3 linked regions of the Saccharomyces cerevisiae S288C genome follow. The gene in region 1 interacts genetically with each later gene. Each region holds a gene or a part of one and is shown in the gene's direction. Other genes may lie near its edges.

The links.
Region 2: mutations in ASN1 (region 1) and RTN2 together harm fitness more than expected from each alone (negative genetic interaction), as found in Saccharomyces cerevisiae (one large-scale study listed by BioGRID).
Region 3: mutations in ASN1 (region 1) and PUS2 together harm fitness more than expected from each alone (negative genetic interaction), as found in Saccharomyces cerevisiae (one large-scale study listed by BioGRID).

What each region holds. Positions count from the first base shown.
Region 1 is NC_001148.4:820,643-824,941, forward strand, and holds ASN1 (asparagine synthase (glutamine-hydrolyzing) 1), read left to right. Parts: upstream 1-1,977; coding exon 1,978-3,696; downstream 3,697-4,299. Other genes in the region: ribosome biosynthesis protein NOC4, read right to left, coding at 1-781; YPR145C-A (uncharacterized protein), read right to left, coding at 4,048-4,284.
Region 2 is NC_001136.10:92,699-96,364, forward strand, and holds RTN2 (Rtn2p), read left to right. Parts: upstream 1-1,906; coding exon 1,907-3,088; downstream 3,089-3,666. Other genes in the region: HEM3 (hydroxymethylbilane synthase), read right to left, coding at 64-1,047; YDL204W-A (uncharacterized protein), read left to right, coding at 1,435-1,587; ACK1 (Ack1p), read right to left, coding at 3,384-3,666.
Region 3 is NC_001139.9:381,827-385,406, forward strand, and holds PUS2 (pseudouridine synthase PUS2), read left to right. Parts: upstream 1-1,827; coding exon 1,828-2,940; downstream 2,941-3,580. Other genes in the region: MRH4 (ATP-dependent RNA helicase), read right to left, coding at 1-1,382; PYC1 (pyruvate carboxylase 1), read left to right, coding at 3,370-3,580. UniProt on the Saccharomyces cerevisiae protein: Mitochondrial-specific pseudouridine synthase catalyzing the formation of pseudouridine at positions 27 and 28 in the anticodon stem and loop of mitochondrial transfer RNAs.

The sequences.
Region 1 (4,299 bases):
AATTTTTCTCGAAATTGGACTTGAATTTGGACTCGTTCTCTATGGCTTGTGGGGGATTTGGTACAAAGATCTCTAAATCTGCATCAACACTAGAGCAATGTTTGTCATGATTTACTAAAGCTAACCATTTACCAACGTTTTTCAAAAGCAAGTCCTGGTAGGCTGGATCCTCTAATAGTTGGTTAAATTCTGATTGAAAGTAGTATTGAATATCTGCAAATTTCGTATAATATTTTTCCGTGAATTCTACTATGATTAAATTTTCAGACGCACCCGAGCTTTTGACATCCTCTATTTCACCCATGTTCGAGGACCATAGGGCGATGATTAACTTTCTGAATGTTTTATTGGGGAAAAATGGTGCGCCCTTTTCAGATGCAAAATGAGTTGATTCCAGCTCTGCAAGTTGAAGATAGACATCAAGCGAATCTAACCCAAGTGATGTTTCGAAAGGTATGTCCGAAATGATAGCTAACAGCTTCGTCTTGAACGCTTCATACACCTTTCTACACCAATTAACAAACTGTTCCTTCTCTAATGTGCTCTTTTTGGACGAAGGAAGGGTCAAGTCGCCGCGGGAAAACAGCTTTCTAAATATCTGGAATAGCGACATAACCAGAAATCTCAAATTTTTTTCTGTCTCATCTTCTTCCAATTGAGTAACATTTTCTGGAATCACTAGTTCATTGATTAACTTGATAATGGAGTTGTACTGCTTTCTGTCACCCGCAGCAGTCAGCCTCTTGGCAATATCTTTAATTTCTGATATAAGCAATACCATATTCTTTGACGTTTCTTTTTAATAGATCTCTCTTCATGGCAATAGAGGATGATAATTACATCTCATCTCATCTCATCAAAACCGTAATACACTTTTTTTTTTCTCAGTTGGAAAATTTTAGTGAAAAATTTCAAGAATAGCCCTAAACCTTCAAATACGAGGATTACCCGTAGAGAAGTGCTGAAAAACTTTTTTCTTTTTCTTTTTTTTCGATTTTCATTTAACAGGTATAAAAAGCGAAACACTCGGTACATATATTTTACCAAGACGCGTTAGATTTTCTTTGGAGGTTTCATTTAAAGAAACCAATGACCTTCCAAGTTTTTAAAAGAATACGATGATATTATTTGCGTTTCAAATCGAACAATTCTTCTCGGAGCGATCTGAGGTTTTAATGGAGATAGCGGTTCCTGCGCAACCCATTGATCTTGTTACATTCTTAAGAATGACAAGGACGCTTTTATAAAATTCTGATTCTTTTTTCTTTCATTCTTTTGTTGTTTTTGACTTGGGAGTAGTCATCTCATCTGTACACAAGTAGCTTTTTATATGTTCTTAAATTGTAGACTAGTCAAAACTTGTGTCCTTTAAACCGTGCCGAAACAGTTTTAAAGCGGACATCCAGGGAAACTTGCCGTTAACAATAAGTGACCTTGCATGGAAGACTGTCGATTGGTCTCTGTGGAAACCAGTGCATATCTAAATTAAATCTATTGTCATCACGAATGCCGCCCGTGTTCGTGCAACGTGAGCGCAAATACGCCTGGGGTCTGTCTTTCTGCGCTGGAAAGCACCTTCGGGCATCAACTACCGTTTCTTATCGCTGGCACTATCTATCCACCAATCACACGGCAGCAGTACTGCTGCCGTGGACGGCAAATTAGGTACAGGGCCTATGACTGTTATCATTTGGCAGGCTCAGACAGAGAGAGAGAGCACAAGGAAAAGAGCCTTAACTCATGTAACATTTGACTCATTCTGTAAACTGAAAATTTGCTGCCCACTCGAGATGACAAATAGTTCGTTCTTGAATTTATGCGCATTTATAGATACGCATATATAACCCTATAGTGAACGCCACTAGGAGACAGATTCTGTTTGGACCCTGATCGCATACTCTTCTTACCTTTACATAATAAAATAAGAAAAAGTATAACTTGCTTTACGCTAAGGATATAAATCGGACGTAACTTAAGATGTGTGGTATTTTCGCCGCTTTCAGGCACGAAGACGTGCATAGATATAAGCCAAAGGCTCTACAACTATCAAAAAGAATCAGACACCGTGGTCCAGATTGGTCCGGTAATGCTATCAAGAACTCCACTATATTTGTTCATGAAAGACTAGCCATTGTCGGTGTGGAATCCGGTGCTCAACCAATTACTTCTTCAGACGGAGAGTACATGCTATGTGTTAACGGTGAAATCTACAACCACATTCAATTAAGAGAAGAATGCGCAGACTACGAGTTTGGAACACTGAGTGACTGTGAGCCTATCATCCCAATGTACTTAAAGCACGATATCGACGCTCCTAAGTACTTGGATGGTATGTTTGCTTGGACTCTTTACGACGCTAAACAAGATCGTATTGTGGCAGCCAGAGACCCAATCGGTATTACGACATTATATATGGGACGCTCTTCCGCTTCTCCAAAGACCGTTTATTTTGCATCCGAACTAAAATGTTTGACTGACGACTGTGACACTATCACTGCATTCCCACCGGGCCACGTATACGATTCTAAGACTGACAAGATCACCCGTTACTTCACACCAGATTGGCTGGACGAAAAACGCATTCCTTCCACCCCAATAGATTACATGGCAATTAGACACTCCTTAGAAAAAGCCGTTAGAAAGAGATTAATGGCCGAAGTCCCATACGGTGTTCTATTGTCGGGTGGTTTGGACTCCTCTTTAATCGCTTCCATTGCTGCCCGTGAAACTGCAAAGGCCACTAACGATGTCGAACCATCAACTTACGATAGTAAGGCAAGACATCTAGCAGGTATCGACGATGACGGTAAGCTACACACTGCTGGTTGGACAAGTCTCCATTCCTTTGCCATCGGTTTACCAAATGCTCCAGATTTGCAAGCCGCAAGAAAGGTTGCCAAATTCATCGGCTCTATTCATCATGAACACACCTTTACATTACAAGAAGGTTTGGATGCTTTGGACGACGTGATCTACCATTTGGAAACTTACGACGTTACCACTATCAGAGCTTCCACTCCAATGTTCTTACTATCCAGAAAGATTAAGGCCCAAGGGGTCAAGATGGTTCTTTCCGGTGAAGGTTCCGATGAAATCTTCGGTGGTTATCTATATTTCGCACAAGCTCCTTCTGCGGCAGAATTTCACACTGAATCCGTGCAACGTGTCAAGAACTTGCATTTGGCAGATTGTTTGAGAGCTAACAAGTCTACGATGGCTTGGGGTCTAGAAGCTCGTGTTCCATTCTTAGACAGAGAATTTTTGCAATTGTGTATGAACATCGATCCAAATGAAAAGATGATTAAACCAAAGGAAGGACGTATTGAAAAGTACATTCTAAGGAAGGCATTCGACACCACAGGAGAACCAGATGCTAAGCCATATTTACCAGAAGAAATTTTATGGAGACAAAAAGAACAATTTTCCGACGGTGTTGGTTACTCCTGGATCGACGGATTAAAAGATACCGCCGAAGCAGTCATTTCAGATGAAATGTTTGCCAGTCCAAAGGCCGAATGGGGTAGTGACATTCCAACCACAAAAGAGGCTTTCTGGTACAGACTAAAATTCGATGCTTTGTTCCCTCAAAAGACCGTGGCTGACACCGTTATGAGATGGATTCCAAAGGCCGACTGGGGTTGTGCTGAAGATCCTTCTGGTAGATATGCCCAAATTCATGAAAAACATATCGAATAAATAACATTAAAAAATAGAAAAAGAATTATGGATTAATCTTATAGATATTTTTATAGAAAAACAAACACTAACAATAATAATAATAATAAATAGAATATAGAAATACATATTTTTCATAATAGTTTGATGAAGTTTTATTCATAAATCATTTTTTATCGCCAGTGCTAAAAAATTAAGTGTGTGGATGACTGTATATATGCGTATCGAACGATCTTGATGCAAATCATTTTGAAACATTATTCTTGACTTTGATATTTCCTATTATACATCCTCCTTCCTTGAGACCCAATAATCTTAAAAATGATGGAGACAGTGCATGCCCTCCTTTTCACCCTTCTTTTATGTCGTTTCTTACAATTTTCGAGATTCTTTTGAATCTGATCTCCTTTTACCTTGTGACTGAAGATTCCTAATCGAATTGCTCCTCTCTAGCGACGCCCTTTGTTTCATTTCGTGTGCAATTAGTAGATCGTGCCTTGTTATTACTGTATTCTTATTTCTTGATTTAATTTCCGCTCGATAGTTTTGCGGATATTGACTATCACTTTTCTTAAATATTAGTTTTATTTTTCTGAAGGCAGTGCTCATATGTAAAGTAGTAAC
Region 2 (3,666 bases), on another chromosome or scaffold:
AAAAAAAAAAGGGAACTTTAGTTAGTAATAATAGAGTTTTTGGACTGATCAAATTAATGGTGTTCATTTGATTCTGTCTAAATTAATTTCATCCAGAATTTTCTTTGCGCCATCGGCAATCATTCTTTCAGCTAGTATCTTACCACACGCCATGGAATCTTCTTTAACATTTTCTATTAGCATTTCAATTTCGTCTTCTACTGCTTCTGTGCCTTCAACGTCAACTACAATGGCCTTTAATAGTAATTTTTTAGTCTCTTCATTGTATTTAGATTCCACACCAATAGGAACGGAACAACCCCCCTCTAAAGTTCTCATCAAAGCACGCTCCGAAAGGCAACATATAGTTGCATTTAGATCGCAAATTTCGTCAAGAATCTTCATCATCTTGGTGTCACCCTTTCTAATTTCTATACCCAGGGCGCCTTGTCCAACTGCATGGTACATTGTATCCGAATGGAATCGCTGCGTAATTCTGTTTTCCAACCCCATACGCATCAACCCAGCAGACGCCAAGATGATGCATTGGTACGGAGATTTTGGGTCGTCTAGTTTTTGTAATCTAGTTTGTATATTTCCTCTGACACTTTCAAATTTCAAATGTGGGTATTTTCTTTTTAGCTGAGCAGATCTTCTCACGGATGAGGTTCCCACAATCCCCCCGTCTGGAAGGTCATCCAGAGACTTATAAGCAGAGTAAAAGGGCATGACAAGACAATCTGTTGGATCGACCCGCTTAGTGATACCCCCCAGCTCGAAACCCTCTGGTAGTAAAGTGGGCATGTCCTTCAGAGAATGAACGATCAAGTCAAGCTTCTTTGAGGGATCGTCATGGTAAAGATGGTCTTCCAACTCCTTTGTCCATAAAGCTTTACCGCCAAATGAGTACAAAGGTTTGAATTGAATCTGGTCACCAAGAGTTTGCAAAGTGAAAACCTTGCAGTCGTAGTCCGGATACTTTTCTTCGATCAGTTTTAAAACATGGTTGGATTGTATTACCGCCAATTTCGATTTTCTCCCACCAATATGTAGAGTTTCAGGGCCCATAGTACGTGTGTATTTACCAACTACAAATTTATCTAGATTTTCTTCGCTTTTCTTTTTTTCTATTGTTCTAGATATTAATACGGGATGAGAAGAACAGAATATTCAAAATCTAATACAGCCCTGTACCATGCAAACACGAGCGTCAATCTGCCAATGACCTTGAATTCAGGCTATGTGTAGCAATAATACAGATAGTTAGTAGCCTCGTTTATATAAAGCGTTCCTTTACTTTTTCATTTTCTTTCTTTTTTTATGTTTGATTTTTTTACTTTTTCACTTTAAAAAATTGCTGAAATTTTCGTAGCCAAAAAAAAGACCTTCATTGCTTACTCATCGGTTTCTTATTGGTCAGACGCTCCCCAGGGTCAATTGACAAGGAGAGAAGGAATGTTATATGGGAATTGCTGCGTAAAGATGGTCAAAAATCCTGGACTGCCGTACGAACGACAATGTAAGGATGACTGCATTAGCCAGAAAGACATCTTTACCCCCGGTGCTGCCAGGGAGCAAAATAATTACGAAAAGTGGACGCAAAGTTAACTTAAACTACAAGGGTAGCAGCAGAATGTGTCGGTGGTACCGGTGTGATAATGCCCCATTTGAGATGCTTGTAATTGTGGCCTAGCAATAAGAACGCAAGGCGTTTTTGTTGAAAGGAGAACAAGGTTAGACGGTGACGTTTAGGCGCATAGGCAATCTCCCCTTATTGTTCACCCTTATTTCCACCCTCAAACGATAAAGCTTGCTACTTTGATGAAAAAAATATATAAAAGGGATTGAAAAGCAGATCAATTATGTAGCAATAGTAGTAATAACTTGTTCAATTGCTTGTCTCAACTTGCCACAAACTATCATCAACATGAATAGGAATACGACTACCAATAAGAACGCGAATTTGAATAACAGTAGAAATGCTAACGCTCCCGGTGAAGCAGGTCATCAGAACAAGACGGGATTGATATACTGGACTAACCCTAGCAAGTCGGGTGCGAGCTTTGCTGCGACTCTGGTGAGTTTGCTGATCCTCAGAAATGTCAATGTTATTTCTGTTTTACTTAAGATCGGATACATGGTGTTGTTCACGAGTTTTGCGGTGGAGCTTTCTACAAAGGTGCTATTTGATAAAGGAGTAGTGTCTAGGTTTGGCATGCAAGAGTCTCCGGACCTTGTTGGCGTCTTAAAGCCTCATATCGACCGCGAATTGGATCGTCTGCCTGCGTTAGAGGACAGAATCAGAAAGTTAGTGTTTGCACACAGAACAAGAAACAATTTTACCATTGGTGTTTCCCTCTATTTCTTGCACGGCCTATTTGCTATATTCTCTATGAACACTGTTTTGATAATGACCACCATCTTTTTGTACACTGTGCCTTTAATCTACGATAGAAAGCAGGCTAGAATTGACCGTGCTATCGACAGGATGAAGGATCTAGTTATTCATAGGTTTCACAAAAATTACAACAAGGTGGTTGAAAAGACTGAACCATACATTGACAAGATTATCCCACCCCAAACCGATGAAGGCAGCTACTCAACCTCTATCAGTAACGAAAACAAATCTTCTACTTCTCAACGTAACAAGAGCGGCCTTTCCTCTTCTGAGTTTGACAACATGAACGACACGTCAGCCTCCAAAAGTGGCAAAGACAGCTATTCTACCTCTCAATATAACCGAGCCGAATATCCAGTTTCTCAGAATGAGAATATTGGCACCTTAAAATCTGGGAAGCAGGAAATACCAACAGAGAAGGATTTCAACAACAGGCATGAAAACTTCAGTAAACCAGATGTCAAGACATATGATCCAAGAACAGTTGATATTGAAGAAGAATTAGCAGCTCATCAGCGTGAACTGGAGCAAAACCTAAAAGATGGTGATTACAATCTGGTAGGAAGCAAGGAAATCCCAGATCCAATCACCGTTCCAGCTCCAACTAGACACACCACTAAACCCGCCGAAAGCCAATCGATTCCCATCAAGAATAATGAAACCTTACACAAAACCACGCACGGCCTAAAGCAAAAATTGCAACACGCATAATCTAGTTTTTTTTTTTTTCTCTCTTCTTTCTAGCTAGTAGTTCATTTCCTTTTCTTTTTTTCAAAGAGGTCATATTTATCACCAACTATATATTTTTTTGAAGAAAAGATATCATTACAACGATAAGTAGTTACAATATTTTTTTTATTTAGTTTAAAATAATGAGTAAATGACGTCGCATTTCTTCGCTTTTGTTATTTTTATTCTCCTCTCATTTTTGAGGAGAATGTTACAATATTTTACTAATGTCCTGAATAATATTTGATTTATGGCATAATAAAGAAATGCGAATTCGTTAATTTGTCAAACTTCGAAGAGCATCAACTGCCTTCCTGAATCCCATTCTTGCAGCCCTCTGATAATATTGTTTGGCCAGATCCAAATCAACTTCACAACCGACACCTTTTTCGTAATAAAATCCTAAGGCAAATTCAGTGCGGGCTAATTTACCGTCTGAACACTTGCTGCTCTTCAAGGCCCAGTTGAATGCCTCTTTATTGTTTGGTTTCAAAATATTTGGTGCTCCCGTTAAGTACCATCCACTTAAGGATAACATTGCCATCGGATTCCCCTTCGGC
Region 3 (3,580 bases), on another chromosome or scaffold:
ATTTCAAATTTCTTCAAGGAAGTGGGAGGTGAAGTACTCTGAGCAACCACCTCCGAAAGTGGTCGCGGTGGTGATAAAAAGGGCATAATTTTCTCGGATCTTTCTTCAAATGTATCTTCACCAGTTAAACCGATGGCATTATGACCGAATTTCTTATTCAATAGGTTAACAATTTCAGGAACATTCTTTTTTTCGTTAACAAAGATAATGCATCTTTTCTCGAACCCTGGTTCCGTGTCATCATTTGAAATAGCATATAAAGTTTGTGCCAATGCTTTGATCTTGGATCCCTTGAAAGGACTTAAGGCAGAATTTATAACTTTAAAGTCCAAAGCGAATGGTAACTTATGCAGTCTGGGTGTCATTATAGGAACCACTGTAGGAAATAGTCTTTGCATTGTTTTATTAAACTCTTGAGGAATAGTAGCGGAACAGAAAATAAGGTGATTAATGTTAGGAATTCTCTTTATTGCGGAGTGCGTTTCTTCAAGCCATGACCTATCTAGAAGTGTGTCAGCTTCATCTAGTACTACGAAACCCACTTTGGACAAGACTTTATCAGGTCTAGTTATCATTCTTATGGAGAACAGGTTCAGTAGTTTTCCCGGAGTAGTGACTAAAATATCTATTCTATTTTTAATGTTCTCTAATAAATCACGATATGATGTGGCCTTGTCCCACTTGAAAGAGTTTAAGCCTAACAAGGTTTTCGTCTTGGAAACAGTTTCGTATACTTGGTCAACCAATTCATGCGTAGGCACCAGTATGATGGACCGAATCAGAACGTTTTTTCTTAATGTTTCCCATAATTCGGGAGTTTCCAACTCCTGTCTTTTCAAATAGTCTATTAAAGGTATCAAGTAGGCCATGGTCTTACCTGAACCTGTCTCAGCGGCAATCGCATGTATTTGTAACTTTGGATCCATTAAATTTTTGGATATTCTCTTAATGGCCACTGTTTGAATGGGACTCGGTATTATATTTTCACTGGTTTTTTTCCTACTATCTTGTAGCTTCAGGGACTCTTTGGAAATGATTTCTTTCACAGCGTCTCTGACAGGTGGAAGTATAAGCAATTGGTCGAAATTCGATATTTTTTGAATGAGTTTATTCGTACTGTCCATATTCATCTCGACGTCTTTTTTCAATCCACCATACTCTCCAAAGTTGAATGCTTGGTCAGGGTCATTCTTTTTGTTACCTTTTTTGCCTTTGGCCTTCTGTTTTCGGTTTTTATTACTACTGCCTGTAGGCACTGAAGCTAATGGAGAGTTTCCTTTATGCTTTGTTCTTGGGCCTCCCGCATAAGAACGCACTCCTATCTTGAGAAGCACGGGGAAAGACCACTGTGGTGAAATTACTGGCTTGAAAAAAAGCGACATTTGTCTTATTATACTTTAATCTGATCTGAAGAAGTATTTCTACTCATCACTAATATCTATTCCGCTATTATTATAGTTGTAATTTATGATTCCGTGGTAAGTGATTTGAACTTTTGCTTCCTTTCGAAAATTTCAAGAATATGGTTTGGTTGTGCTGTGCAAGAGCGGTTGTATTGCGAAATAGAACCCATCGAGAAAAGAAAATGAAAAAGACGGCATTAAAGACTAGCTCTGTTTTAAGACAAATATTTACAGGCCAGAGAATAAAGAGATACTCGTATGTATGAATTGTAGCCCCTTACACACATATGTATATATATCGATGTGAACATAGCATTTATTAACAGTTCTGCTCAGTACAAATGGTAGTAGTACTAGTGATGAGGTTACTCCGACACCGTTAACAGCGGTAGTAAAGAGAAGGCCGAGTAAACATAAGGTCGTTATGCTCTTAGGTTACTGTGGCAGCGGATACTATGGAATGCAATACAACCCACCACACAAGACGATTGAAGGTGAGATTCTCACCAAGCTCTTCGACGTAGGAGCCATTTCCGAAGAAAATTCATTGGCACCGAAGAAAAATTCCTTTATGGCAGCGGCAAGAACAGACAAGGGTGTACACGCTATGTTGAATCTACTGTCGCTAAAGATCACATTGCGAGAGGACACAGTAGCGAAGTTAAACGCCGCACTACCGCCCGAAATACGCGTGTGGGGTATCCAGCCTGTCAATAAAAAGTTTAATGCTAGATCCGCGTGCGATTCTCGATGGTACCAATACCTTATCCCAGAATTTATACTCATTGGTCCACCCCGGAGTTCTCTTTTGCATCGAAACGTGGGGGGATGCTACCGCGAAGACGGCTCGCAAGAGGTGTGGGATACGTTCCTGGAACAGACGCGTGGGAGATTTAGCGGGGATGAGCTGTGCCGTTTGCAGGACACTGCACAGAAACTAAGCGAGAGCGATCCTTTGGTACAAGACTACGTGGGGCTATTGAGCGGTACCCTTAGCGGCTACTGCTTGTCGCCCTCGAAGCTGGACGCGTTTGAGGCAGCCATGCAGGAGTACGTGGGAACGCATAATTTTCACAACTTTACCACAGGAAAGCTTTGGGGGGATCCTAGTGCTCAGCGCCATATCAAAAAGGTTGTAGTGTCGCAGGCCTCACCGGGATGGATATGTGTGCGGATCCACGGGCAGTCGTTTATGTTGCATCAGATTCGACGAATGGTAGCGCTTGCCGTACTTGCAGCCCGTTGCCAATTGCCGCCTAATATTGTACGTAACTATTTTAACGCCGGGCCTAGGAAATACATTCCGAGGGCGCCCGCACAAGGCCTATTATTAGAGGGACCTGTGTTTGACGGGTATAACACTAAGTTGCGCAATTTGCTGTATTGCGAAATCCGCCCGGACGATATCACTCTTGAGCGCATGTGCCGTTTCCGAGAACGCCAGATCTGTACTGCGATCGCACACGAGGAGACACAGCGTCACGTGTTTTGCCATTTTGTACGACAAATGAACCGCCTGGCCACGCCTCTAATCTAGCCGCCCAATGTCGCGGGTTGACCCGCGACATTGGGCGGGCAATACTCTCATCTTATTGGCTATTCAACTTAGACAAGCGCCAGTTGCGCGCACAAATTTGGTCATGACCGCTCCACCGGCATGCGTGTCGTCATCCCGCATCATTCGGGACATTTTGGCCTTTTCCGCAGTGCGTAGTTGACGTGGGGAGAAAGCTAGTGGGCTGTCGCATATGGTTGGTTTTAGGTGGCGAAAGTTTCGCCGCGATAGCAATCATGTCCTCGACCTTAATCTCAATGGAATGGGTCATGCTCGGTAAGTGAGTCTCGCTGTATATAAGTATATATGTAATCGCCTAGTTCGATAGATACAAGGAGGTCTTGAGTATGTAGATAAACGAAAAGAAGATAACAAAAGGAAAATCTCAGCCTCTCCCCTTCCTCTTAGACAATGTCGCAAAGAAAATTCGCCGGCTTGAGAGATAACTTCAATCTCTTGGGTGAAAAGAACAAAATATTGGTGGCTAATAGAGGAGAAATTCCAATCAGAATTTTTCGTACCGCTCATGAACTGTCTATGCAGACGGTAGCTATATATTCTCATGAAGATCGTCTTTCAACGCACAAACAAAAGGCTGACGAAGCATACGTCATAGGTGAAG